7 linked regions of the Mus musculus genome follow. The protein of the gene in region 4 purifies or fractionates together with the protein of the main gene of each other region. This does not show direct contact. Links are inferred from orthologs where the notes say so. Each region holds a gene or a part of one and is shown on either strand. Other genes may lie near its edges. The genes, in order: Dido1, Ythdc1, Dgcr8, Srpk2, Zfp638, Snrpa and Srrm1.

What was found.
Region 1: the proteins of Srpk2 (region 4) and Dido1 purify together in Homo sapiens (affinity purification with mass spectrometry; 3 studies listed by BioGRID and IntAct, with this or other methods). This does not show direct contact. The link is inferred for Mus musculus from reciprocal best matches to the Homo sapiens genes SRPK2 and DIDO1.
Region 2: the proteins of Srpk2 (region 4) and Ythdc1 purify together in Homo sapiens (affinity purification with mass spectrometry; 4 studies listed by BioGRID and IntAct, with this or other methods). This does not show direct contact. The link is inferred for Mus musculus from reciprocal best matches to the Homo sapiens genes SRPK2 and YTHDC1.
Region 3: the proteins of Srpk2 (region 4) and Dgcr8 purify together in Homo sapiens (affinity purification with mass spectrometry; 3 studies listed by BioGRID and IntAct, with this or other methods). This does not show direct contact. The link is inferred for Mus musculus from reciprocal best matches to the Homo sapiens genes SRPK2 and DGCR8.
Region 5: the proteins of Srpk2 (region 4) and Zfp638 purify together in Homo sapiens (affinity purification with mass spectrometry; 3 studies listed by BioGRID and IntAct, with this or other methods). This does not show direct contact. The link is inferred for Mus musculus from reciprocal best matches to the Homo sapiens genes SRPK2 and ZNF638.
Region 6: the proteins of Srpk2 (region 4) and Snrpa purify together in Homo sapiens (affinity purification with mass spectrometry; 4 studies listed by BioGRID and IntAct, with this or other methods). This does not show direct contact. The link is inferred for Mus musculus from reciprocal best matches to the Homo sapiens genes SRPK2 and SNRPA.
Region 7: the proteins of Srpk2 (region 4) and Srrm1 purify together in Homo sapiens (affinity purification with mass spectrometry; 3 studies listed by BioGRID and IntAct, with this or other methods). This does not show direct contact. The link is inferred for Mus musculus from reciprocal best matches to the Homo sapiens genes SRPK2 and SRRM1.

What each region holds. Positions count from the first base shown.
Region 1 is NC_000068.7:180,685,103-180,688,602, reverse strand, and holds part of Dido1 (death-inducer obliterator 1), read left to right. Parts: intron 1-805; coding exon 806-1,127; intron 1,128-3,426; coding exon 3,427-3,500. UniProt on the Homo sapiens protein: Putative transcription factor, weakly pro-apoptotic when overexpressed. Tumor suppressor. Required for early embryonic stem cell development.
Region 2 is NC_000071.6:86,828,266-86,831,765, reverse strand, and holds part of Ythdc1 (YTH domain-containing protein 1), read right to left. Parts: exon of another isoform or gene 2,287-3,500; intron 1,213-2,286; coding exon 1,130-1,212; intron 103-1,129; coding exon 66-102; intron 1-65. UniProt on the Homo sapiens protein: Regulator of alternative splicing that specifically recognizes and binds N6-methyladenosine (m6A)-containing RNAs.
Region 3 is NC_000082.6:18,286,369-18,290,418, forward strand, and holds the start of Dgcr8 (microprocessor complex subunit DGCR8), read right to left. Parts: upstream 2,801-4,050; 5' UTR 2,735-2,800; intron 2,729-2,734; exon of another isoform or gene 1-2,728.
Region 4 is NC_000071.6:23,504,968-23,508,467, forward strand, and holds part of Srpk2 (SRSF protein kinase 2), read right to left. Parts: intron 2,754-3,500; coding exon 2,569-2,753; 3' UTR 1-2,568. UniProt on the Homo sapiens protein: Serine/arginine-rich protein-specific kinase which specifically phosphorylates its substrates at serine residues located in regions rich in arginine/serine dipeptides, known as RS domains and is involved in the phosphorylation of SR splicing factors and the regulation of splicing.
Region 5 is NC_000072.6:83,927,853-83,931,352, reverse strand, and holds part of Zfp638 (zinc finger protein 638), read right to left. Parts: intron 2,701-3,500; coding exon of another isoform or gene 2,499-2,700; coding exon 1,188-2,498; intron 1-1,187.
Region 6 is NC_000073.6:27,193,472-27,197,720, forward strand, and holds the start of Snrpa (U1 small nuclear ribonucleoprotein A), read right to left. Parts: upstream 2,801-4,249; 5' UTR 2,520-2,800; exon of another isoform or gene 2,310-2,519; intron 2,290-2,309; exon of another isoform or gene 2,086-2,289; 5' UTR 2,064-2,085; coding exon 1,973-2,063; intron 1-1,972. Other genes in the region: BC024978 (UPF0692 protein C19orf54 homolog), read left to right, coding at 3,543-3,895. UniProt on the Homo sapiens protein: Component of the spliceosomal U1 snRNP, which is essential for recognition of the pre-mRNA 5' splice-site and the subsequent assembly of the spliceosome. U1 snRNP is the first snRNP to interact with pre-mRNA.
Region 7 is NC_000070.6:135,343,147-135,346,646, forward strand, and holds part of Srrm1 (serine/arginine repetitive matrix protein 1), read right to left. Parts: intron 3,300-3,500; exon of another isoform or gene 1,524-3,299; coding exon 1,353-1,523; intron 834-1,352; coding exon 718-833; intron 1-717. UniProt on the Homo sapiens protein: Part of pre- and post-splicing multiprotein mRNP complexes. As a component of the minor spliceosome, involved in the splicing of U12-type introns in pre-mRNAs. Involved in numerous pre-mRNA processing events.

The sequences.
Region 1 (3,500 bases), on a different chromosome or scaffold from region 4:
TGAAAAGCTCACTGCCTCAGCCTCTCAAGCCATGTGCAAACGGTGGACACTGTAGATAGGCAAGAACCATCTGTTGTCCCACAGATCCTATGAGAGTGTTAGAGGACATAACTACAACTAGTCTGGTCCTTTGAATTGGATGCCAGGTGGTGATGGGGCATCTCTGTGGCGTTGTTAGGAGATGAAGTTGCTGCAGCTATTGCTGAGTGGAGATACTCTGAAGCCTCTAGTTCACTCTTAAAAGTGTTCTAGCCAAAAGATGAAAGACTAAGGATGTTGTTCATTGGGTAGAATGCTTGCTTAGCATGCATGAAGCCCTGGGTGTGATCCCCAGTATCTCATAAAGTTGTGAGGTGGTATATGCCTATAATCAGCTTTTAGTAGGGGCAAGAGAATCAGAAATTCAAGATCATCTTTGGCTACGTAGGGAGTTTAAGACATGAAAAAACCTGTCTCTAAAAGTAAGTAAATAGAAGAAAAGATGGGTGGACAGATAGCTCAGCAGTTAAGAGCATGGACCGCTGTTCTTCCAGGGGTCCTGAGTTCAAGTGCCAGAAACTACGTGGTTGCTTAAAACCATCAGTAACGGGATCCATTGCCCTCTTCTGGTGTGTCTACAGACAGCTACAGTGTGCTCATGTATATATAAAGATGAAGCAGATTTGGAGTGCTGCTAACAAGGGCACTTGGGTGTTTTTAGTTCTGATCTCACTTTTCACTTTATTTGCTTGCTGTTCACAATAGAATGTTAAAAGTTTGACTTGGTGATCTATTGGACAGTGACCACATAATCTTCCCATTTTAGGTTTATGATCTGCTGTGATCGGTGTGAGGAGTGGTTCCATGGTGACTGTGTGGGTATTTCTGAGGCCCGAGGGCGGCTCCTGGAAAGGAACGGGGAAGACTACATCTGCCCAAATTGCACCATTTTGCAAGTGCAGGATGAGACAAACGGTAGCGCCACCGATGAGCAGGACTCTGGGTGCAGATCTGTGGGTGCTGATGGCACAGACTGCACAAGCATAGGGACAGTAGAGCAGAAGTCCGGAGAAGACCAGGGCATAAAGGGTAGGATTGAGAAGGCAGCAAACCCCAGCGGCAAGAAAAAACTCAAGATATTCCAGCCTGTGAGTATCTGTCTGCCATGGCAAGCACACATGTAGGGCTTTCTGCTGCTGAAGAGAGCAATACTAAGAAGGTGCCTTCTCTTTAGGACTGTTGGGCTGGGCTTTTGTGGGCAGTTACTGTATCTGTACGGGCCTGGGCCCTGCAAGAGAACATTCTGCTGCTGGTACACCTTGCCACTCCAGTTGGTGTCAATTATGACTGCTCCATCATAGCCTCCTTAGTGCCAGCAGCTTACTGTGCTCTAATGGTCACTTAAGGGGAAATCCATTTCTCCACAGTGCTATTGACTGAGTTTGAAGAAAAAAACCTTACTTTTTCACACGCTCTTGGTGTTACATATTTTGAGTGCTGGCAGAGTTATTGAGAGAAAGGTGCACTGTGCTCTGCTCTTACTTACATGCTGGCCTAAGTTGTTCCATGCCTGGTACTCATGTTTTCTTCATTCTTCCTACTTGAGTTATGTTATCCCATGGGGCCATAACTGTCAAATTTCCCATGAGCTGAGACTAGCAGTCTTGCTGCTCAGGAGAGCTTTCTCCTGCTGTCAACAGGTGTGTTGCATTTCTCAGGAGGGTGCCACCAAGTGCATCTTCACTTTAAACCCCAACCCCCACAGCACCTCCAGCAGGTGAGAGTCTGGGGAAACTACAATCTAGACTGGCACTGTCTTAGTTCTCACTGTGCTGCAAGGTGAAAAAGTGACAATGACATCACACCGTGGCCACTAGCACCGTTTACTGGAGGAAGTTGTCAATTTGATGCTTTTATTATTGCCAGTCAGTATGTTAGACATTGCCTGAATTTTAGTCTGTGTAAACTTAGATTTGGTAGAAGAAAAGCAACTATCTTAAATATTTATCCTGAAAACTGGGAGCTCTCAAATTGTCAGACATATGTTCTGTTCAGTCTTCCTGATATACTTAGAGCTAAACGGTCTCTAGTTTTCTGAAATGTATGTATCCTGTGTCTTTTGGCAATCTCCCTCCAAACCACTCAAAACAACAAACAAAAAAACAGGCTGCCTTTCTTCAAAACTAACAGTGGATCTCTTCTCTCTTAGGGCACGGCACATTTACTCTTTTAAGAATTTTCACTTGAAGGCTAGGGGTGGTGGAGTCCAACCTCTAAAGGCAGTATGAGTTCAATATATATATTTCCCTCTGAGGGGCTGGAGACGTGCTCAGATTCAAGAGGAACTAGGTTCAATTCATAGTGCCCATATGGTTCTCATCGTCATTTATAGTTCAAGTGTCAGGCAGTCTGATATCCTCTGTGCATGGACAGACAGACATGAAGGCAAGACACACATACATATAAAGGAATTTCAATTTTTTGACAGTTATAAAGAGGAATTTTTACCTGGACTCATAAGATGGCTCATTGCATAATAGCATGGGCCATCAAATCTGATTACCTGAGTTTAATCTTCAGATCTCACATGGTAAAAGGAGAGAACTGACTCCTGAAAGTTGTCCTGACTCCTGCTGTACCAGCTATTCATGTGCAAGCCTGCGGGTATATGCACATGCATGCACACACAATATGTAACAGAAATCTTAATGAAAATTTGTAACTCATTAAGTCTACATTTTTTGCCCTCTTTTTTTCATAGTGGTTTATTTTTAACATGTGTGTCTAGGGGAGTAGTGTGCAACAGTATAGATGCCCTCAGAGGACAGGGCTATCTGACATGAGTTCTAACAACTAGACTGCTCTTCTGTAAAAGCATCCTCTGAACCATGTTTCCAGCTCCTCTCTTACTCTTACCTCATTTGGGACCTGCACATGTTTAGAGGGCATATAGATCTGAAGCTCCCATGTGTGCAGAGTTTGTGTGCCAGGGCAGTCAAGGAAAATAGGTTTGTATAGTTCACAAAGATAGGTCTTACCATGTAGCCTGGGCTGACCTGAATTTCGGAAGTCTCCTGCCTTCCCTTCCCATGTGCTAGAATGGTGTTAAAAGATTATGTCATCATGCACAGCTAACAAATGAAAAATGAATTTTTATTCATATAAAACTATTATTAGAGCCATCCATAGTGATGTACACCTTGCACCTTTAGTCCCAGCACTGAGGAGGCAGAAGCAGGCAAATCTCTTGAGTTCAAGGCTGGCCTGGTCTGCATATCAAGTTTCTGGGCAGCCAGAATTTCATAGTGAGACCCTCTCTCAAAAAACAACCAAATAAAAATTCCTGCTAGTGTCTTAATACCAGTGACCACCAATAGTGCTGTCACTGAGCACTGATCACTAGTGTCTGCACACATGATGTCTGAAGTTGCCTGTCTTGTTCTGCAGGTCGTAGAGGCTCCTGGTGCTCCTAAATGCATTGGCCCTGGGTGTTCCAGTGTAGCACAGCCTGACTCTGTGTA
Region 2 (3,500 bases), about 63 Mb from region 4:
CAGGTAATTCATAAACTAGTTCCAAGAATGTAATTCAAAGCTAAGCAAGAGTGAGCCCAACTTACCTGTCCACTTCCTGGTATCGGGGATCCTTTACATACCCTGTTCAAACATCAAGCATTTTAATAAATCAAACTTTATATTTTTACTAGGGCATTATAATTAAACCTTCCTTACCCTTGTTTCAACTCTTCCCAGGAATATACTTAAAGGATGTTATCATTCAACTACTACAGAGATTTTCACATGCATCCTGTCTTAAGGACAGAGAACTAACTTGAGTGTTACATGTGAACTTGCTTGAGGACACTGCAGCAGAATGGCCTTTAAACAATGTTTCACCTTGAGAGCTTACAGCTACAGCTAAGTTTTAAACCATGAAGACTCCAAAGGACAAAAATTTGCAAAAAGCTGCAAAAATGAGTATATGTATATTCTAAGAATCAAGTAACAAAACAAGTATCTACTCCACCCCCTAGTTTCCTTTAGAGAGGGTCCAGCAAACTAATATACAAAAATGTCTGACTGGCTCTGTTACTAGGGAAAGTATTTGTCTAAATGGAACACAATTGCCTTCCCTAGAAAAAAAACATACTTCTGTAAAACCACTGTTATAAAATACTAGAGTTATAATGCTAACCAGAACCAAACTCTAGAGTTTTACAGGTGTGTCCATGACTGTAATTTAAACATACCCCTTCTTTAATCTCAACAAACAACACACTAACTGAAAACTTTTACACTTGGATAACAAGCCAAGTGTTTACCATCACTCTCCAAAATGATATCAAGTTTATTTTTTTAAAGGCCTAATTTCTATCTTGATTTCCAATTAATGCTGCATATGACAGGAAACACTATGTATCCTAAGGAACAGAAAGCACAACAAAATTGTTTTCCTACATCTTACACATGTACAGATCAATTTCCATTTTTTGCAAAGACAGAAATTTCATGTAATTATGACTCAATGAAGTGGACTGAACAATCTAAACATGGTAGGGAAGATCTACTAATTAAAACTAGTATGGATTTTCTAAGGAAAAGTAGTCTCTTTTAAACCTATTGAAAGTTTTTGTTGTTTTAATAATTTTAAGTCAAATAATCTTCAGGATTATAAAATATTAACCTGGTCTCTGGTGAAACTCAGGGGGATAGTCAATCCTTGGTTTCTTTCTGCTGTTATGAATATCATAATCTTCTGGTCGACGCCTACACAAATTAGACACATTAGAAATTAAACCAAAAACAGCTGGTAAAACAAACAGCAAAGCAAGAGTTTGACAGAGATGAGTACAAAGAATAGCCCATGGCCTCCTAAAAGAAATTGCCATTAATTTTTGGTGAACAACTTAAAAGTTCTTAAATTTTAATTCCTCAAAGGCAATCCTTATACACATACTGTGGAGTAGATCTCTCTGTAATCTCACAGTAAAAAAAAACCTCAAGAATTATCTAATTCAACCCTGTAAAACACATTTTAGTAGTCTAAACATATATGAGCAGTTCTTTAACAAGTCAAAGTTTCCCAAATGTCACCATTCAGGTAACAACAGAAGGAAAACCACATCAGCAATTATGTAATAGTTAGGTCTGAAATGTATATAGATATAAGTTTAGATTCAATCTAAACAAATCTAAATAAACAAGGTTAAGAAGTCTTAAATGATCCCTCTGCTTTACACAAAACTAGTTTTCATATTATACAGAAAGTTTTAAATTTAATAAAGCTATGTAACAGGTTTTGAAAATGTTACTTGAAAAACTAGCATCTCAGTAACATTACTTTCTTTAATACATTAGTTATTAAGGTAATTTTTCCAGAGACAATGACTTTTAAAACGGCTCTCATGAATTGCTATGTAATAAGTTTTAACAGAGTTCATAACACTAGCTCAAACTTTAAAAGGTGCTGTTAATTTGCTGAGGGCTGTTCTTCATTGTCTTTCATAAACCTTGATAGCTAGTATAACAATACAACATAAAATACACTTTACTTAGCATTTAATAAGAGCTAAACAAAACAAAAAGTTCCAAAACATTTAGGGATTAAACATAATCCTTTTACTATTAGTTTCAAATATATAGTATATAATAACCAAACATCAATAATTTTTCAGCTCTCTCTCTAAATATTAAATGTTCTCATTAACTTTTGCACCAAACCACTCAAACTGCAGTTAAATCCAACAAACCAAGTACCACCCACCCCAACAGAATAAAAACAGTTGCATCTACAATAAATAATACTAAGTAAATTAAAAGCTGGTTATAAAATAAACATACCGCTTTCTTGTAGTTTGGGGAGTGCATTTACGACCGGTATAAAACATGATAGTAACAGTTCATATAGTAGTCCAACTACTGACTGTAAGCCACATACATAAATGGAGGCCCTGGCAGGCTTGAGAGGTGTAGTGGTGTTATAAGTATAGTTTGCAGTCCATTGCAAAACTGAGGAAAAACTTCACTTGTATTTACTGTATTGCACTGGAAACCTTTTAGCTTAAACTTGAAAAGACATCTTGGTGATCAGTCCTTTTAGGCCAAAAGTAAGGGGCTCTGCCAGGTTTCCTCCTACCTACTCGACAAAGTCCTTTTTAAGCTCAAAGAAATGGGACTCCTGTTGGATTATCTGTACCTACCACAGGTTGTTTCCAGCAAAGGAAACGTAACCAAAGGTTTCATCCCATCAACCACACATCCAATAGTCTTTAGCAGAATATTTTAGATTAGCTGTATGCAAATCTATACAGGGGAAGGTGTTGGGTAGAAGGGCTTAAATCAGTTCTTTTCAAAGACTTCTCTCCAATTCTGTAACAAGTTAAACCCCCTTTTTCTGGAAAATGCTGTTTAGTTCATAAGGTAGTGATCAATAACCATGGCGATCCTCTAAAAAACACTTTAAGTCCACAGGTACTGCCAGCATCTGGAAAAGTTGTAAACAGACACAGCAACAGCCCTTCGTTTTGGTTTGTTGCCGGGTCTCCCAGGGCCACTTGATCCCCTTTGGAAAGAACCTATTGTTTTCAGAAGCTCAGCTGGATGTGTGAATTCACTGGGCACATGTTACAGAATATGTGGCAATGGGGTTAACACATCACGGTGACAAAATTGGAAACAGTCCCAATAATGCTCCTCTTGAATATGAAATAACTTAAAACATTTTATCCTCTAAGTGAGGCGTCATCTTCTCAAAAAATATTAGTGATCCTTTATAAAAGTCCCATATGTGGTAAGGCTTATCCAGAGACACACCTGAAAGAAAGGGCTTTATAAAATATTAACAATTTTTGCAAATAAAGACTTCCTCCTCTTCCTCCTTTCTAGCCTGTTCTTAGCAACAAAATGCCTACCTCGTTTCACTTGCTGTATTATCAGAGTACTATCTAGTCTAAACTGGTCATCACTTGTTAGTAAATTATTTTTTCTGCATTAGGAAAGATCCCCATTTTCCTCTTGAAAAAAATGAGGCCAACGTGACCATGTGAAATCCTCAA
Region 3 (4,050 bases), on a different chromosome or scaffold from region 4:
TAACAAAACACCTCTCCAAAGGTGTTCCCATCAAAGGTGCTTATGAATGACTGAGAAGAGAGCAATAACTAAGAAGCCAGGAGGGAGATCAAAGTTTCCTGGCAACCAAGGACCACTGCAGAGGACAAAATCATCAGCATGCTTAATCCTAACAGACCTCAAATAAGATCAGGACAGTGCCTGTTAGGTGTACAGAGATCACAGCAAGTCAAATCTGTGGTATCTGAGGTAGGATATGCTAATGGTAAGAACACTCAAGTAGGCAGGGATTGGAGACAAGAGTGGTAGAGGATAGGGAAGCATACTGTATGTTAAAAGCAGTGGGCCAGTGAGGAACTACAGATGAAGGCAATAAGTGAAGACATTAATAAGTGTTAAAGCAGGAAAAGCTTTAAAGAAATATATATCATAGGTGGGGACCCTGAGGCCCTGGAAAAGGAAAGTACACATCTTGCAGAAGCAGGCAAATTGTCCAGCTCTGGAACTCAGCAGCAGGCTAAGGTAAGTTTCTTACCTTCCCTCTGAAAGCTTACTCAATTCATTAATCAACTATTTGCTGAATGCCCCATAAGGCATACACACCATGTATATGTGTTAAGCACAAAGCAGATAAAACATTTGCCCCACAGAGCAATTACACTTCCCCCACAGAGCATATTAGTGTGAGATGGATAATAACAAGAAACGTATCTATGATGTCACATGCTGACAAATATTCTGCTAAAACAAAGCAAGATAAAAATCTAGAAAGCAGCTTCTAAAAGATTACACAAGGTTCTACAGCCAGTGCCCACCCAAGGATGAAATAGATGGAGCCAGATGGTTAACAAGAGTAAAAAGGAGGGTCACTGTAGAAGATACTTAAAGGAAAAGCAAAGACCCTGGGGCAGAGCCATGGTGTGGCCACGCTAGAGATAGTATGCTGAGTGAAACTGACCTGGGCAACAAGTATTCAGTTTTTTACATTTTTATCTTGAGTAGCAGGATACTGCACAGAAGGGATCAAAACAGTGGTATCACTGATCCATGGGTAACAATGGCAGCTAAACCTCACACAGGTCCTGCTCTAAGGATTTTATGCAATTCACTCAGTACTCTGACAGAAAGGTTAAACAATTTGCTCAAGGTTACAAAGCTAGGAAGTGGTACAGCTGCTTTGCCACTCAAACAAGCAGGCCTAAGTCTGCACTACCTCAGTTTTATAACACCTTACAATTTAATGAATCACTCTGTGTCCAGAAAACCTAAGAGAGTAAGAGTAGGGATCAAATTAGAAGAGTTTAAAAGCTCACCAGATAGCTTGGACAGGGACTTTAGGTTACAGTTTCTGGGAAATGGTCTGGTGTTGTAAACAGGTGGCAAGGCTTCTTAGGAGATACATGCAGGCCTATGAGAGGCACCAAGGTGACTTTAGACAGGCATAAGGATTGTTCTGGCACGGACTGTGGTTATCTCTTGGAGTGAATCAACCTATTTGGTGTTAAAGTGGAATAGACAACTAGAAGCAGGAGATTGGAGATCAGAAGGGAGGACAGACAGTACTGGAGATGGGAGTCATGGAAGATGTCAAAGGAAACTGATGTGAAAAGTACATAGGATCACATGGGAGGGGAATGATGACAAGAGAAGGCCAAACTGGGCAAACCAGTCAAAATCATGTTTCTCACAAGGTAAAATTCAGACAGCCACTGTGAACTGCCTGCTCCACATGTTTGGCAACACAGCTCAAAGGGTAGCCCTCCTGCCTGTAAACCTCACTATTCTTCAGCTGACTGGACCTATGGATGCAGATTTTGATTTGCCAATTAGACTGTGAGCAAGTCAGACCCACTGCTGGCTCCCCTGGACCCTGGCACAGGGCTTACCCAAAACATGTGAACAACTCCTACTTGCTGAACGGATGGCCAGTGCTACAGCTGCAGCCTCCCGCTCAACCCAAAGGCAGTATGACCTCATCAATTCCTTTGTCACCCCGCAAATCCTATTCTAAACTGAAAGGCCACACTAGCTGGGCCAGCCTTTCACTATCTTCGGTTAGTGATGGATTACAGTGGGAACTGAGCCACTTCCAAGGCTGGGAGTCTAGTTTGAGCCAGCAGAGAGTGGGCACCCTAATAGTGATTGGCATACAAGAGTCAACAACCCAACACAGGACATCTCTGCATCTGGCAATAAGGTACATGCAAGCATGCAAGATGGCAAATCAAATTCCTACCATCAGCAACCCAAATCCACTGGATGATACTACTTGACATGTATCGCTGTCAACAGGTTGCCACTTGCCATTTATTTCTACAACGTTCATTGTTACTGTAAAACCACATTCTGATAAGCTACATGACACTTCATCCACGGGTAATTTGGTGGAGACTTGGGCGGTTTCTTGGCTTTTTCCAAACAAAACAGGCGGAGTTCGGGGCGTTGAGGTGTCCCTGCCCACACCTCTCCCGCCAGAAGGCGAGGCAATGGCTTCGGGCCCACCGCCCAGGGGGCTTCGTTACCAGGCAGACAGCACCCTACGTTCATGATGCCTGGGCTCCGGGCCCGGCCCCCACTGCACAAAGGCCGCGACTCCGCGTGGCCCAGCCCGCCTAGCGCGCCGCGCCCCGCCCCGAGCCCCGGCCTGTGGCCTCGCCCGGGAGGGGTGGGGGTGGAAGGAGGGAAGGAAAGGGCGCAGCCTCTCCAGGCCGCAGCGCCCGCCGCCCGCGGGGCGCCCATCGCGCCCCGCACCTACCTGTGGCGCCCGCGACCTGCCCGAGCCGCCCGCAGCCCGACCACAGCCGGTCGACCCTCACCGACCCCGGCGCCGCCACAACCCGCGAAGGCCCTTGCAAAGCGCTCGGCTCTTGAGACCCGCTGCCGCGCGGGCGAGCGGAAGGCGGGCCTTGGCGGAGGGCTACCAATCACGGCGCACGGCCTCCGCGCATTGGGGGAGCCGGGAGCGGGCTGAGGCGGCCGCCAATCGGCAGCGCGAGGCGCGCGCGGCCCAATTGCGAGGCGCTATGGAGACCGGGATGGGCGGGACCAGCCGCAAGCCTGGCACTTCTAACGGCTGTCGCTCCGGGTGGGGCTGAGTTGCGGCCGCGGGGCGCGCCGGGAGAGAGGCGCGTAGAGGCTGCCGGGAGCCGGGGAGCGCGGGAGTGCGAGGGACGCTGGGAGCTCATCTATGAGCTGGCCTCTGTTGAGCTCAATAGTCACTTTTGAGTTTGCGAATGACAATGGACCTCCGGCTCTGGGTCGTCCCAAGGACAATGTTGGAGGTACACCCATCCTAGAAAGTCAACGGATAAGATGCGCGATGCGGAGGATAGGAAAGGAGTTTTACTCGCAATATCATCACACCAGGAAGGACAAAGATCTGATGACTAAAAATGTTCGCTGTGCTTACAGCATCCTCCGTGTCAAAAAAGGAAGGAGAAGCAGAGCCGATTGGGGGTCCTTTTAGTTTGGGGTGGACCTTAGGTAGGCCTTGCAGACTTGTGTCAGTGCCAAAGACCATAAAGAAACTTAAGCAGTTCCAGACTCATCTGACACCCGTGGTAGCAGTATGAGACTTAGGAAAATTCTTTAGGACAGAAGTGACTCAGAAACAAAATGAAGTTAGCCAGGTCTGTTCCTGAGCCCTTCAAATCCCGAACCCACAAACCATTACTTCATTGCTATAAGCCCGGGACTAAGGTGGGGATAAGTTATATTTATACTATCCAGAACCTCAAATAGTTTAGCTTTCCTTTAGGTTCTGATTCAAGTCAATAAGTGTAATAAAAATTTTATAGAAAACTGTCTGCCGTTAGGCAAACACTTCAGTAATTGCTGCTGGACATGAAAAGTGGATGCTAAAAACACGACTAAAGGGTAACATGTTGAAGAACTCACGGTCTCAGCACACTTGTGTTAATGCTAAAAGCACTGAGTTATATCCCTAAGGTTGGGGAGATTGTATCTATTTTTTTTTTTAAGATATATTTTATTTATATTAGTACACCATTGCTCTCTTCAGACACAACTGAAGAGGGCATCAGATCCCATTACAGATAGTTGTGAGCCACC
Region 4 (3,500 bases):
GCAGATCTCCGAGTCCTTGCCTCACAAAATAAGAAAAGAAAAATAATCCGAACGTGTTTTCTATTCCAATGAAAGTTTTTTTTACTCATACCTGTTAAGTTATGCATGGTGCAGGGAATATGGACAAACAAGCAGATCTCGTTAAAGAGTAGACTTCTTTTACACTCCCTACTACTTTTTCTCTGGATGGTTCTGCCATTTTTTAGATTAGCTATTTCTGGATCTGCTAAAGTCACATGTGAGACCCACTGCTTGTAATTTTCCATGAAGATTTCATAGGGTCTTTTCACTAAAAAGACTGACTTGGCTATAATGTTCCAAATAACCAATGGTTCACTTTAAGCTTTTATTCTTTTTTCTTCCTAGATTTTCCTTCACTATATAACCTTGGGTGGCCTGGAGCTTATGCAGAACAGGCTGGCCTCAGAGATCTTCCTGCCTCTGCCTCCCAAGTGCTGATATTAAAGGAGTGCACCACCACACCCAACCTTTACATTTATTCTTTATCATCATGCTACCAAGAATCAGATATAACCATATGGTACCCAATCACAAAAGTGTATGCTAGAACTCCTTGGTATATCATACACTCGCTAGGGTATTATTAATAGAAGAACCACCTTAAGATTAATATTCTAGCTTCCTTTTCCAATTTGACATTTCTAACCTCATTAGACAAATTTCATTCAAATGGTAAAAGTTCTTTCAGAGGTAGGGAAAACATAAACACACTCTGTGGTTCTTATAGGAATGTTTCTATAGAAATCATGACTCAGCAGCCACCATTTGTCATAGGCTCTATAAGGAAACGCACAGCCTCATTGGAAAAACCCAGCATGCATAGTTTGTGAATGAGTGGCATCGTCTATCTTACTACAGTGTATGATATAAAAATGTTAAACCCTAAGAAGGATATGTGTCTTGTTCACACAGGGAAAGATTGGAGGGGACAGGGGAGGAAACCATTGCACTTACGATGAAACACTGATTAAAAAAAGGGAACACCCACATTGTAGATAATGAAGCTATAACTAAAGCCTCGTTCATAAATCCATTCTGCCTTAATGTATGTTCTGTGACAATCTGCAACTCCTTTAGCTTTGTTGACACTACAGAGAGCAAAGGTATGTTGATTCTGTCTCTTGAAATACAGGGTAATAAGCAAGGCAATGTCTGGAAAAACACCCCAAAACACTTTAATTTTTAAGACAAGTGCAAGCACCCCAAACAAAGGATTATTGTTACAACACTTGTTAGCTTTTCACAATCTAATTATTGCAAAGGCATATGAATAAATGTTAATGGACAAAGTCAAGAAAAACGAGGCACCTTAATGAATAAAAATTTTTAAAAAAAAGACATTCAACCCACTGACTTCTAAAAGAGGCTAAATACACCTCCTATGTTACATTCTAAAATAGTATTGCCTACTAATGGTTTGTATCCTGGATTCTACAGTTAATTTTAAGGAAATGCATAAACTAAAACTGTATGCGGTCTGCAAAGGGGAAATGGCCTTCTCATTCATGGGAGGTAAGGAAAAGGCGAGGGAAGGGAAGCTGCCTAGGACGGCATGGGCACGGTCGCTGTTACCTTGAAGCTGTGAGGAGTGCTCGGTCCACTGCGTTGCAAACTGTCTAAGCCACGCCTTGTGTTTTAAACAAACACGATCATGCTTTTCAAAAAATATTTTTTTCATTCCACACACTGAACATATTTCTCTTGTCCAATTTAATCTACGTATTTAACTTACAGTGCTGGTGAGAGGTGACACTACCGGGGATTGGGCCATCACATTTTAAGTGGAAATGACTGATACTTTAAACATAGCTTAAAAATATGCAAAATACAAATGGAACTGCTAGATTATAGTGTCAAATTTTTAAAGTTTTTCTCTCTTTAAAGTGCCACAGAGGGCATGGCACCTCGTCCAGAACCACTTGGGTTGTTATGGAATGAAAAGTTTGTGCAACTTTCTGAAGCAGTGGAAATCTGCAACATGCAATGTAGGCCAAAAAGCGCTCAGGACTGGGTAGCTTTTCTGAATGTGAATCCTCATCCCCTATTTATGCAAAGTAATAGTTACATACACTAGTATAATACAGGAATGATTTCCCTTTGCCAGACGATAAAATTGTACATTTCCTTGCTCTTTCTTGGTTCCAACTGATAATTTCTTAAGATTGTAAATTATATAATACTCAGCTAAAATATGTCTTCATAAATAGTTACAGAACCTGCCAAAACACAAAAGGGAAAGTATTTTTCGTTCAAAAAAAAAAAAAGACATTTGAATGTCACACAACACAAGAAACAATGCTTAGAGACATGTTATTGTTTCCAGAAGAAAATGGCCAGTAAACTACTTAGCTGAAGACAAAGACCAGCCTTCCCCAGGACCATGGTGCACAGGAAGCAAAGTGTCAAACAACAGTACCTCAAAGCACTACAAAGGTCTGAGGGTGGAGCCAGCTCACTGGTAATCCTGTTAAAGAATGAGAGCCACTGTGTAGGTCCAATGTACTGGGAGAAATTTGCTAGCTCAGAATGCTATATTTGTAGAATCTGCTAAGAATTCAACCAAGGATGTCGAAGGCATTCGCCAGCTGAGGCTCGTTTTTCTGGAACCATCTCTAACATTGGGATCAGGAAATCTGTAAATTGTGCAGCATCTTCATGGGGCCAGCCATACTTTTCCACAAGTACATCAAAGAGGCTCCAGGGCTTCAGCTTGGTGATGTGCCGCAGTTCTCCTGGAGAGAGAGAAGTACAGCATCAGAGACGCTCCACGAGTGCACATCTCAGGATGACCTGAGCCAGACAGGCTTCTTCTCACTGCAGCAGACATTTTACCTCTCAAACCATTGGCTACAACAAAGAACGCTAGCTTTTCTCCCCTAAGCAAGTCTCATTGAAGAGCTAAGGGTCAAGTCGAAGCACGCTAGGTGAGTGTAAATGGGTTACGTCTGAACAAATAAATCAGCTCTGTGCTTCTTGAGCTGCAAAAGCACTGAGAGTGTCTGCTTCCCACTGGAGAGCTGCTCACACTCCAGCTTCGTGGTGCCGCCGCCATCTGTAAACTGGCTTAGGATACCTGGATGATGCAGGCTATTTGAAGTTGTTGCTGTGTTTTCACATGTGCTTCTACCTCAATGCAAATCTAACTTTTTCTGATGGTGCACATGTCCTTTTGAACTGTGCTGTCCACTGGCTCCACAGGGCTAACAGGCACACGGTTAGTACACCTACAGAGCATAGGAACTCTACTTTGTCTAAATTTAAGAAATAGCCTCAAGCAGCTACTAGCAACCCAAAACAACGAATTTTTATCTCTATTCATTTATAGTAAAATATGACCTCAAGGACAGTTTTTTATAAAACCTTAAAATGTTCTAATGTGGGGGGGAAAGAGGGGTGGGGAGAAGCAGTGGTGGTACACGCCTTTAATCCCAGCACTCAGGAGGCAGAGGCAGGCGGATTTCTGAGTTCGAGGCCAGCCT
Region 5 (3,500 bases), on a different chromosome or scaffold from region 4:
GAGATTTTTTTTCTGAGTAACAAATGACATCTATTCTCTTTGATGGAATAAGGCAACTACTACTGTACTAAAATTCAGCATATTTTTCTGTGGATAGATTGCTGCTTTCTGATTGAACGTAGGGCATGATATATGTTAAACATGTGCTCTACCCCGAATACACTCCCAGCCCAGAATGATGTTTTCTTTTGCTAAAGTTAACTTGAAGACAAAAGCAACCAATTCAGGTTTTAGGTCACTGACTGAAAACTGATAAATGAATACAAAGACAATAAAATGGCAGTATTTGCAGAGAAAAAAAAATAACAAAAGAACTAAAACCTACACATATGTAAACCTACCTCTTCAAGCTACCCAGCCAATTCCAGGCTAAAGCTTGAAATTAAAGCTTCTTAAGGTACGTTCCCTCCTCCCCACCATTCTTACCTAAAAACTACATTAGTAAACAAAAGAATCAGTGGTTCCTATACACGTATGTTAAGAAAGGGGGAATGTGGTAGTTCCTGCTCAAATTTACCACTAGTTATTATCAAACAGCAAACACTACATAACACCATTCCTCAGCGTCTGTGCAAATGTCTCCTCTGTCTACACGAACCACAAGGTACCTTAAGCATATATTTTGGATGTTTCTCTCTGAATTTCCAGCATTTTACTCTCTTTTCTGAGCTCATGGCTGGTTCCATAATCATAATCATCTTTATATCCTGAATCATTCTACTATGAAATTATTTTAAAAGCACCTTCTCAAGAAAAAAATTACTGGTCCATACAAAAATCAAAAAACCCTTAAAGCAACATTAAGATCTTTAGAACAGGTATGCACAGGGCTAGAAGATATATTGTCCTTAAAAGTATGTTACAGATGAGTTTTATATTTTTATCCTAATAAATCTTAAACATACTTTCCCATGTAGCAGTGTTATGAGTACACAATTCATTAGAAAAATTAGATGCTACATAAATGGAATAACTAAAGTTCAAAATAAAGGCAAACTATATAGTATGCCAAGTAACAGGATGTAGAAACCCAAACATTCATTTCAGTACTTAAGTACTTACGATTACAAGTAGGTGCTGGGGTTGCACTTTTGTTAACGCTTTGTTAACAGCAGCATACATAACAGAATTTAGAGAAAACCTGGGCACTGAGCATCATTGTACAGCAATCTTTTAAAAACACTCACCTTCAAATGACTACATTCTACGTTACACAGAGAACACAAATGTGGAAATATTCTTGGAGATGCTGCATAATAATCATTCATCATAGAAGGGGTTGGCAGTCTCTTCATTTTCTGGGCACCAGCTTGTGTAAACTTTGGTAGCCACGAAGCTTTCACAATCCCAAAGGGAGACCGAATAGGCAAGTCAGCCTCTGATTGGTAATCCTTTTTACTTTCTGTAGGTCCACCATGTGCATCAGCTGAACTGATCACAGACTTCTGTGAGATCCGCTCTTGTTGGCGTAAAACTGCATCTAATTCAAATGTAAAGGGTACCTGGTTCATAGATGGAGGATTCAGAGACTGGCTCGTTGTCTGGCTAACTGTTTGGCTAATAGACTGGCTGATGGATTTTACAGGTTCAAGGACTGACTGTCCTGAAATGTGTAAGCCTGACATCTTGGTTCCACTCTCAACTGGGAAAAAAGACTGACTGGAGGACTCACCAGGGAAGTCCATCTGACGAAACATATCTCCACCAGGAAACACAGAATTACATATCACATTTGGAGTTGAAACAGTTGCAGAAATGCTCTGCTGGGGCTGAAATTCATTCTTTACTTCATCAGTTGGAATTTCAGGATCATAAATACGTACTTCAAGTGGATCTTCTGTATAACCATATTTGCTTGCATGCCCATAATCAATCACATTACTTGAAACTGTTTCATTACTAAGTGTTTCCTTATTTCTGCTGTGAGAAGGTAAATTAGGTAATCGGCGGCTCATTTTTCGCATTCTTATATCCCTCAATATTAATGGCATATTTTCAGGAGTTAGCTGTTCATCAGGATAGCGGCTAAGTTCTTCTAGATCTTCATTTGATAATCCAAAACTTGCTAAAATACTTGAAGCACTCTCTTTTGTGTAGCGGCTCTGTACTTTAGGACTTTGCTCTGTAACCTGGGTTACAGAGCTCTGTTTCACTTCTACCGGTGGAGTTATATGAGACTCATCATCCCACCGACTACCATGAGGCTTCCCCTTCTTTTGTTGTGCTTCAGGAAAATCCAATTTTTCTTTGGTTAATCTTGGATCGGTTCGGTGTTGAGTTACCTGAACATTCATTCTTTGTGGTCCCATGTTCTGATAAGATCCGTGGCCAGGAAATCTGTGTGGAATTCCACGGGCTCTCCCTGCTGGGTAAAATCTTGGAAGACCCATAGAGCCAGGCCTCACAAATGGTCCTGGAGGCCTCATCCCAGGAGGATTAGGTGCTCGTGGCCTTTGAAGTGGAAAGGTCCCTCGAGGATTAAACCTGGGTCTCGACATGGCTACTTTCAAGAATGCCTGATTTAAAAAAGTATAAGGTGGTGTTGAACCATGGGAGGCAACGGCATTCAGCTGCTGAAGCGCCAACTGAGTCTCAATCTGAGCAAAGCGCAAAGGAGACGGGCCCAACAGAAGTGGGCTCGCAATGCCCAGGCTCAAGGAATTCACAAGTGGTGCGAAATTTTCCAAGAATAACACAAAGCTGAAAGTTAAAACACAAATATTAGATCATTTTAACTCAAACTGCTTCATGCAGTGGGTTCTACAGCCAGAGTAAAACATTTTGAAATCAAGCCATGATATCATTTTGCATTGCATATACTTTTAGAGTAAGGGCTTACAAAGATTTAAAATTTCCTCTAAAACTTTCTCTTCTTTTCTGATTCCAGAACACAAACCCCAAACCTCAAGTTCATGTACATTGCCGAGCTGTACTGGGTGCTGTCCTAGGTGCTGAGATGTAATTCACAAGTCCTTTTACATAATCTTGAAAAAGACTGAGGATTTATTTTGTGCTTTTATACTGAAAAAAAAGACGGAGGCATTAAGATTCTTAGAAATAAACACTATGTGTGTGATCAGACATGAAAGAATTGTAACTTTAAAGTTTTATTTAGACCCATTTTTGAAAGACACATTCTTCCTTGGAATCAGCCTTCACATCTACTAGGTTCCACATGGCAATTAAGCTATACTTATATTTCTGTTATTGAACAGTTGTTTCTGGTTAAAAAAAATGTGTCACCAGGAATCTAATTACAAAGTCTTTAACAAGGAGGTGCTGGAGCATGGAACTCCTTATAATACACAATATAACATGGTAACAAAACCAGTTAGGGTTTTTGTTGTTGTTCTTTCAATTGTTGAGAATACAGACAAAATACATAGGTAACAATGATTAACTTTAGAGAAAATGTCCATGTTGTAGTTGCTCTCCTAAGCATTTTACATGAATTTAGTCGTTTAGTTCTCACAAGTCCCAGAAATATGCATAGTTTTACA
Region 6 (4,249 bases), on a different chromosome or scaffold from region 4:
TACTACAAACTTGCTGTTCAAATAACAAACACTTCTTTTCACTCTTAAGCTAACCTTCCAGGCCTTTAAGCCTGACATGCCATCGATTCCTTCCTTCCTTCACTTGTTTATTCAAGGTAGGATCCCATTCTATAGCCTGAAACTGTCAACAATTCTCCTGTCTCAGTCTGACTCACAAGCACGGCCTCCTAGTGTCCGCCACACCTCAGCCGTTGTACTCTTCACTGAATGCCCTTCTCCTGACATCTCCATGACTGCCCCTCTAGCCACTTAAGTCTCAGCATAAATCTGCAGCCTCCCTGCAGGAAGCTCTCTCCAACTTCACTGTCCAGATGTCCCCTTATGGCCCTCTTCTTACCCTGTCTCCTGCTGACATCACAAGTCCACTTACCGACCACCACTAACAGCTACAAGCCTGTCAGTTGGACATGCTGGCCCCACCCGAGAATCCCAACCCTCAGGAGCCTGAGGCAGGAGCACCAGGTACCTGAAGTCAATCACAGTGGGACCTGGGAAGTCAGGCTTACAGGCAAGCATGCGTACCAGCTGAGTCATTTCCCAGTCCTCCCACGACACTTTTCTCCAGTTGGTCATAAGAACCAGTATTTACCCTTCCTTAACTTCTGAATTACTTCCACAAAGCAATGCACCAAGGGGCCAGTGCAAGGGCAGTAGAGCATCCATCCACTTCACAAGCCTTCACGACCTGAATATGATCTCAGGAACTCAACAGCTGAAAGACAAAGGCTTCTCTAGAGGGGTCCTGACCACCCTCATGCATCCATTTATAGATGCACACAAAATAAATACATAAAAATAGTCATTTGTGTTTACTTTTTTAAAAATGTGTGCCGGGATTCAGTCTTTGCAGAAACTTTCTAACTATGGGCCTTACTTCCAGACAAGAACTGAATTATTTGGTAGGGATTTCTATTTAAAAAGAATCTTAAAAAAAAAAAATTTTATGTGTGGATTTTTTTTTTTTTTTTTTTGCCTGCAGAAGCCAGAGGAGGATGTCGTATCCCCTGGAACTGGAGACACACACAGTTACGAACCTCCCTGGAGGCAAGGAATCAAAACCAGATCCTCTGTTAGATCAGGCAGCATTCTTTAACCACAGAGCTCTCTCCAGGCCATGCTGATTTTCTTAGTTGCTGAGATTTGAACCCAGATCCTTACTCCTGCTAGGCAAGACTAACACTAGCTACATTCCTCAAACCTTTTGGACACTGGGTCTTGCTATGTCGCCTCAGCTGGTCTGGAACTCAAGCTCCTCCTGCCTCAGTCTCCTGAGTACTGGGATTACAGCCCTGTACCTCCACACCCTAAAAGAAACCGTTTGTCTTTGGTTTCTTTTTTATCTGCTTTGGCCATGTTGTCCCAAATGGTTTCAAACTTTCACTCTTCCTGAAGAACAGAATTACAGCCTCTGCCAACCAGCCCAGTCTAAGAATCTGCTTAAGCAGAACCCCACATTTCTGTCTCATTTTTCTTGCTATTTGATCCCAGGCAAGTTATGCCACCCAAATTCCAACTACTTAATCTGAGAGGCTTGTGAGAATTAAAGACAGTCAAGACTTAGAACGCGGCACAATCACCCACATCACAAAGCCATCCATTGCCCATCCCTCCTGTGTGTCATCTGCATTGTAGTCAATCACTGAGGCCACCACCCAGAGGTCAGTGGACAGAGACAGTCTCATGAAAGCAGACTGATGGCAAGAACGATCCTGGAAGGCTTCAAAGGAAGAAGGGACCTATGAGCTAAAACCTGGAAGATCACTAACAATGCGCAGATTAAAGGGCAGAGTGTAAAACCTAGGGTGAAACCAAGGAACCAGTAGGTACAAAGGCCAAAGTTAACTCCTAACAGACAGAATGGGGAAGGCTGAAAAAGAAATGTGGATGCTAGAGGTGAAAAGGGGTCAACTCTTGTGATATCACCTTGAGTCAGGCTACCCCAAGAACTCACCATCCTTCTTGATCTTCTCATTGAGATTGTTGATATAAATAGTGTGGTTGGCACGGGTCTCGGGAACTGGCATGGTGGCTATGGTGGCCATGGTGTGAGATGTTCAGGTACGGCTTAAAGAGGAGGAAAAAGCGACTTTAGCCCTAAGTTTCCCAAATTCTTTGTTCCAAAGGGCTGATGCTCAGGGATCGCCCTTCCAAGAGGAAGTCGAGTAAGACCGGAATTGGAAGAGGATGTCACAGCTTAGCAACAAAGCCAGCACAGGCCCCCGCTTCTCCAACCCGCGTGCTAAGGGAGAGCTAGAGAGGTTAACTACGAATCCCAGAATGCTCTACGAGTCCCGGCAGGCGGAGCACACCGAGCGGCGCTTCCCATTAGTCCACGTGCGCGAAAGGCGTCCCGGGAGGAAAAAAGACCCCGGATGTCGGAGCCAGTTAAGAAAGTAGGGGCCGACTTGGAACATCCTAGTCTCTCAAAGAGAGGCCTCCCGAAGTGCTCCACCCGCCTCCCCGGCGCCGAGCAGCGTCTACAACCCGCGGGAACCCACCACCTGAGCCGTCGCTCCCGCCGACAACGCCCGCCGAGCTACGCTGCACAGACACACAACTATCTTCCCCGGCAACGGCTTCTCCCTTCCGCGAGCTAATCACGGCGGGCAAACTCGGTAAGTTCAGAGTCTCTCCCCCGGCCTCAGCGTCTGCCAAAGGAACACTTGGGGTCCCGCCCCCTGGACGCGAGGGAACGGACCAATCAAAGAAGGGCACGAGCTTCTGGCCAATTGGGACATGGTTAGAGCTCTGGTGCATTCTAAGACTGCCTTTCGGAAGCCACACCTCTTCCCCTTCCGCCAGTATCACGTGACCTTCAAGAGCGTTGTGCTGGTTGCGAGTTCTATCACGTGGGATGGGAAAGGACAGGTGGAGGCTGGCCGGGTGACGTCATTTCCTCCTGGGGAGGCGCTTGTGCAGATTCCTAAGTTCCTAAATTGATAGGTTTATACCAACTTAGTTGGCCTTTGATCGCTGAGTTGCTGCGACTCTCATACTTCCCCGCTAAGCCCATGACCCGCCCACCATTAGGCTGTTTTCTCACCCACGTGCCTTTTTTGTAACCTCTTAACCCTAGCTCGTAAAGTCAAGGTTTCAAACTCAGGCCCGCAATGCAAAAAGTAGGCAAGTCACATCCTTTAGACACCTCACAACAGATCTGAACCTCCGAATAACAGAAGTGACCAAAACTAGCTTAGCTACAGCAGATGAGATGACACCTACAAAATGTCCCTTCTAATGTAGCCCCAGCCCCATAGCACAGACCACCCTTCGGGATCCTTCAGCATTTGATTTAGCCCAGTTTCTCTTTCCACTGTTTCAAATACTAGCCCAGGTTCTCCCAGAACAACTGGCCAGACACCATATTCTGCTATCAACTCCAGTTTTAATTTTTTTTTTTTTTTTTTTTACAGATCTCAATGTGCAGGCCTGAATATCTCTCATCCAGTTCCTTTAAAAACTGAAAATCTCCATCCTTGGGAGATTTGGGGAGAGCCTCTTATTCTTCCTGTAGACCCCAAATGACTTCTCCATGCTCTTTCCCCCTAAAACCCACAATCTCTCCAATAATTCATGAGACCCCAGACACCAACATTCCACCTCCTTTACCTCTAAATCCCCCGGACCTAGCTTTACCATCCCCTCCTTGTAGTCTCCATACATCTATTTCATCCCCACTGCCGCCCCCTCCCCCCCCTCCTGCTCCTCCCCCTCCCCCTCCCCCTCCCCCTCTACCCTCTGCTGTGGAGCCTGTTCTCCCTCATGTCTATGGCCTGAAGAACAGCCAGCTCCTGAAGGAGGCCTTAGAGAAGGCTGGCCCAGCCCCCAAAGGCAAAGAGGATGTGAAGAGGCTCCTGAAGCTGCACAAGGACCGGTAGGGTCTCCAGCCCCCAAAACCAGCCCAGATCTCAGACAATCACCTGATTACAAGTCACCACAGCCACCCTGCTCTTTGCGGTCCCACTTCCTTGATCTCAAACAGCCAGATGCCTTAAGTACCCTACTTAGTTAGCTTCCAGCAATAGAGAGAACAGCTTCTGCTCGGGCCTGGCTTTGACACAGAAGCCAGTGGTTCTGTGCCTCCAGACAGTGACTCCAGAGTAGCCAGAGTTGTGATAATGGAGCCCAAGGACAGATCTCAGTGTTGGCTTCTAGAATCGAAGCAGCTACAAATGCTAGTGAGCACGTTATGCAGGCCAGTGCCATGAAAGCAGACAGTACCGAGCAG
Region 7 (3,500 bases), on a different chromosome or scaffold from region 4:
ACACTCAGCCTTTAGAGGCACTGCTTCTCTAGGTTTTCCAACTCAGCACAAACAACAAAAATATTACCTCCTCTTTTCATTACAAATCCCCACAGATTTATTTTTTAAAGTCCTAAAAATGAAAAGCCTAATGGAATTCTCACCTTTCACCACAAATATAGCAGAAGCTGAACCGAGGATTTAAAAATGTGAACCTAACAATAGTCTCATTGGAAGAAAGAAGAAAACAAATAAATGATTTGAAGTTTGGGCTCAGTACAACCATCTAAGAAAAGCAGAACATGGAATTAGGTAAGTACATGAACGCTAATGAGCAGCTCTGCAATACAAGGGACTGGAAATAATCAGAATACAGTAACAACAAAAATTCCAATGTCTTACTTAAGCAAAGCAATATGAAATCCAAATTTCTACTTAAGAATGAGTAACTCACCTAAATTAGAGGTGATCATTTTGGTCAAATGATCTGGCTTTGTCTTTTTTTTTTTTTGAACAGAGGCTTAAGAAGCCACCCCTACACCCCCACTGCCTTAATCTCCTGAATATAAAAACACGTGCCAAAAGGCTAGCAACAGAAAAGCTCTCTTTAGCCCAGAAGCAAACAGCAGCTCTCCAGTGGTGCTCCCCAGGTCTTCTAGCTAGGGAACTTGGACCAGAGCACCCCTAAGGACCCCAGGCACCTTACACACCACCACATCTCTAGCTGCTCTGCCGTACCTTCTTGGGCTGCGAGACCGCTCCCTCTTCTCTCTGCTGCTTTCCTTTTCTTCCTTATCCCTCTTATCTTTATCTTCATCTTGTTTTTTCAGAGACGCCAATTTTTCTTGTTCAATCTGCAAGCACAGAGTTGAGCACTAAGAGCATCCATTAAGGTACTGACACGGGTGCTCCAACTGCCATTTCACAGGCGTGACTGGCTGCAAGGTGTTCCATGTTCTCAAGTTCACTCTTACAACACTCTTTCATTTATCCTTTATCATTAATGTAAACTTATACCATTTATATCATTTCACTTATCATTTATATAGTCACTCTCTTGGGACTTTATAATTACTACCTGTGCGAGAAGTTGCACACACTTTTTAGATACTTTATTTAGACTCCCTTTTAAGGTAAATGCACTTATACTTTAAGAACTGAGAAAAACAAAAACAAAGCACTCTGTCCAATTGTCACTGCCTCTGGGAATACGCCACTCTAATTTCAAATGTGGTAAGCCACAACTCAGTGGGCAGACACATCCAGCAAACTAGCCTAGCCGGATCAGAGGCTACAGTAGCTCAAAGAGACAAAGCCCTCAGGGTAACCATCCGACCGTGTATGACATCTCAAGTCAATACAAAAAGCATTACTTGTCTCTGCTTTATCTCTTCCTTCTTCAACTCTAGGAAAGCAGAAGGGATTCCGGCGATATTTTCTTGTGCACTCAACAGCAGGGGCCACAGCTCTCCCATGAATTCTCTAGCATTCTTCCCATTCAAAAACCCAGTCAGGTTGATTTGCATCATTTTGGAATCTGGGTTCTGCAAAAAGACATGACAGGAAGAAAAACAGGTTACTTCGAAACTAGCCAACCTATCTGAAATTCATTTAAATTAGTATTTAAGTCTACCATAAGGGGCTTAGGTACATATATATGCTCTACTACTGTAAAAATAGTTTTCCCTAGTTGCATCTTGGTAATGTAATTTCTAGATAATCCAATTCTCCCTCACTGAACCAAAAGCATTAGAGCAGCCTTTGTGGATTTCCTAAGTATTTAGACTGTATGGCTGTTAGTGGGCTTATGCATTTATCAACTCTAAAAACAATCATGGAACATCTATAAATTCTTGCATTTACTAACAGTTTTTGCTTGGCTGGAAAACTTGCCCCAACCAAAACTTGAAAACGTACATAAACACTTCTCTTTACACTACAGGTAACTTTCTATAAACTATCTAATATCTAGTGCTCAGTTACAAGAACTAACGAGTTAAGCATGCACTCTGTAACATCTGAAGACTAAGCTAAAAGCCTGACTACTGCACATGACAACCTGTTACTAACAATGCCACAGATGCTCAACTGTCCACAAAACTAAGAGTCAAGATTTCTACAAGTAATTTGGGTTTTTAAACACTAGATTCTGTTGGTCAAGCAACAAGGTCCGTATAACAAGCACAGCTCAATAGCACAAAGCAAGTACAGATTCCAGGTGTCTTCAGTGTCTTCTTGGAACCTTGGGGGTTTGGAATCGCCAAGTCCCCTGTAGAGAAAGATGTTCCCTTGGCTTGCTTCCGACTCCCTACTGCAACTCAACCACCTTGAGTTTAATGTTATATCATTTATCTAAATTGCAAAAGACGAACAAGCAATAATGAGTACACAACCACAAAAAAAGAAAAGATTGTTTAAAAAGCTCTACACTTTAATCTCATGCTCACTACAGGGGAATACTACCAGGTATTTAGGTTTTAAAGTTCACTAAAATTCAAGTCAGTAAAGCATTTCTCTAATAAAATAGTAAATTAAGCATTTAAAAAACATCCTCCCATGTTTCTGGTCTCTAAAGGAAATAAATAAATATACTTAAACATAAGGTCCTTTCTTAAAATTAAGTCTTAAAAAACATTCAAAGCAAAATAATTACCACATTGTTTTAAAAATGAAATACCTTATCGTTTGGAATGATAACTGTTCTGTCAAAATTCAAGCATGAACTCTTGGGAACAGGAGTAATGTAAAAGTAAACTCACGTCAGTACAGTTACCAAAAGGTTTTATGGTACGGCTTTACTGTCCTTTGGGTACCATGACAAAATAGCAAACTATGTTACAACAGAAATAATTGTAAACAGTTATATCATCTTGTATTATTTCATATTGGAAGATAGAAACAATTATGTTAACTGGCTTTTATAGGACTGCCAATCCATCTGCCTGAACTTCTAACTACAATGTAAATAAAATCCTGTGCCTTAATTCTAACTGGTAAGCAACTGACTTGTAACTACAACTAAAGTCTTCAGTTCTTTTAAAAGCAACATCCAGTCAAATCAGATCGCCCCTCATGCTTCAAATAAATGTCCACCTCAAAATGCTACTTTAAAGAGCAGTACACAGCTTTACCAATTGCTCTTGTTTGTGTTGTTGTTGTTGTTGATGTTCGGCCACTTTACACAACTCACCTCCAAACACACACTGCGTCATCAAGGGAGTTGGGTCAGAGCGACATTGGGACACTCACTCTGCTGTGACCTAATAAGGTGATGGTGCTATACTTCAGACGCAAGGAATAACTTCCATTTTGGTTCAGGCCTTTTAAATCATAAATCACATTATCATTAGAAAATTGCTGTCAAAGTAACTTAACATGTAACAGCAAAATTACAAACAGTAAGTTTGATTTTTTCACCTGTGTAGCTTTCAAAACTATGCACCTTCACTAGACCTCCAGCCTTAACAGCTGTTTTACAAAGTGAATTCTTCTCACAACAAACATTGTACAGTAACCCTTCT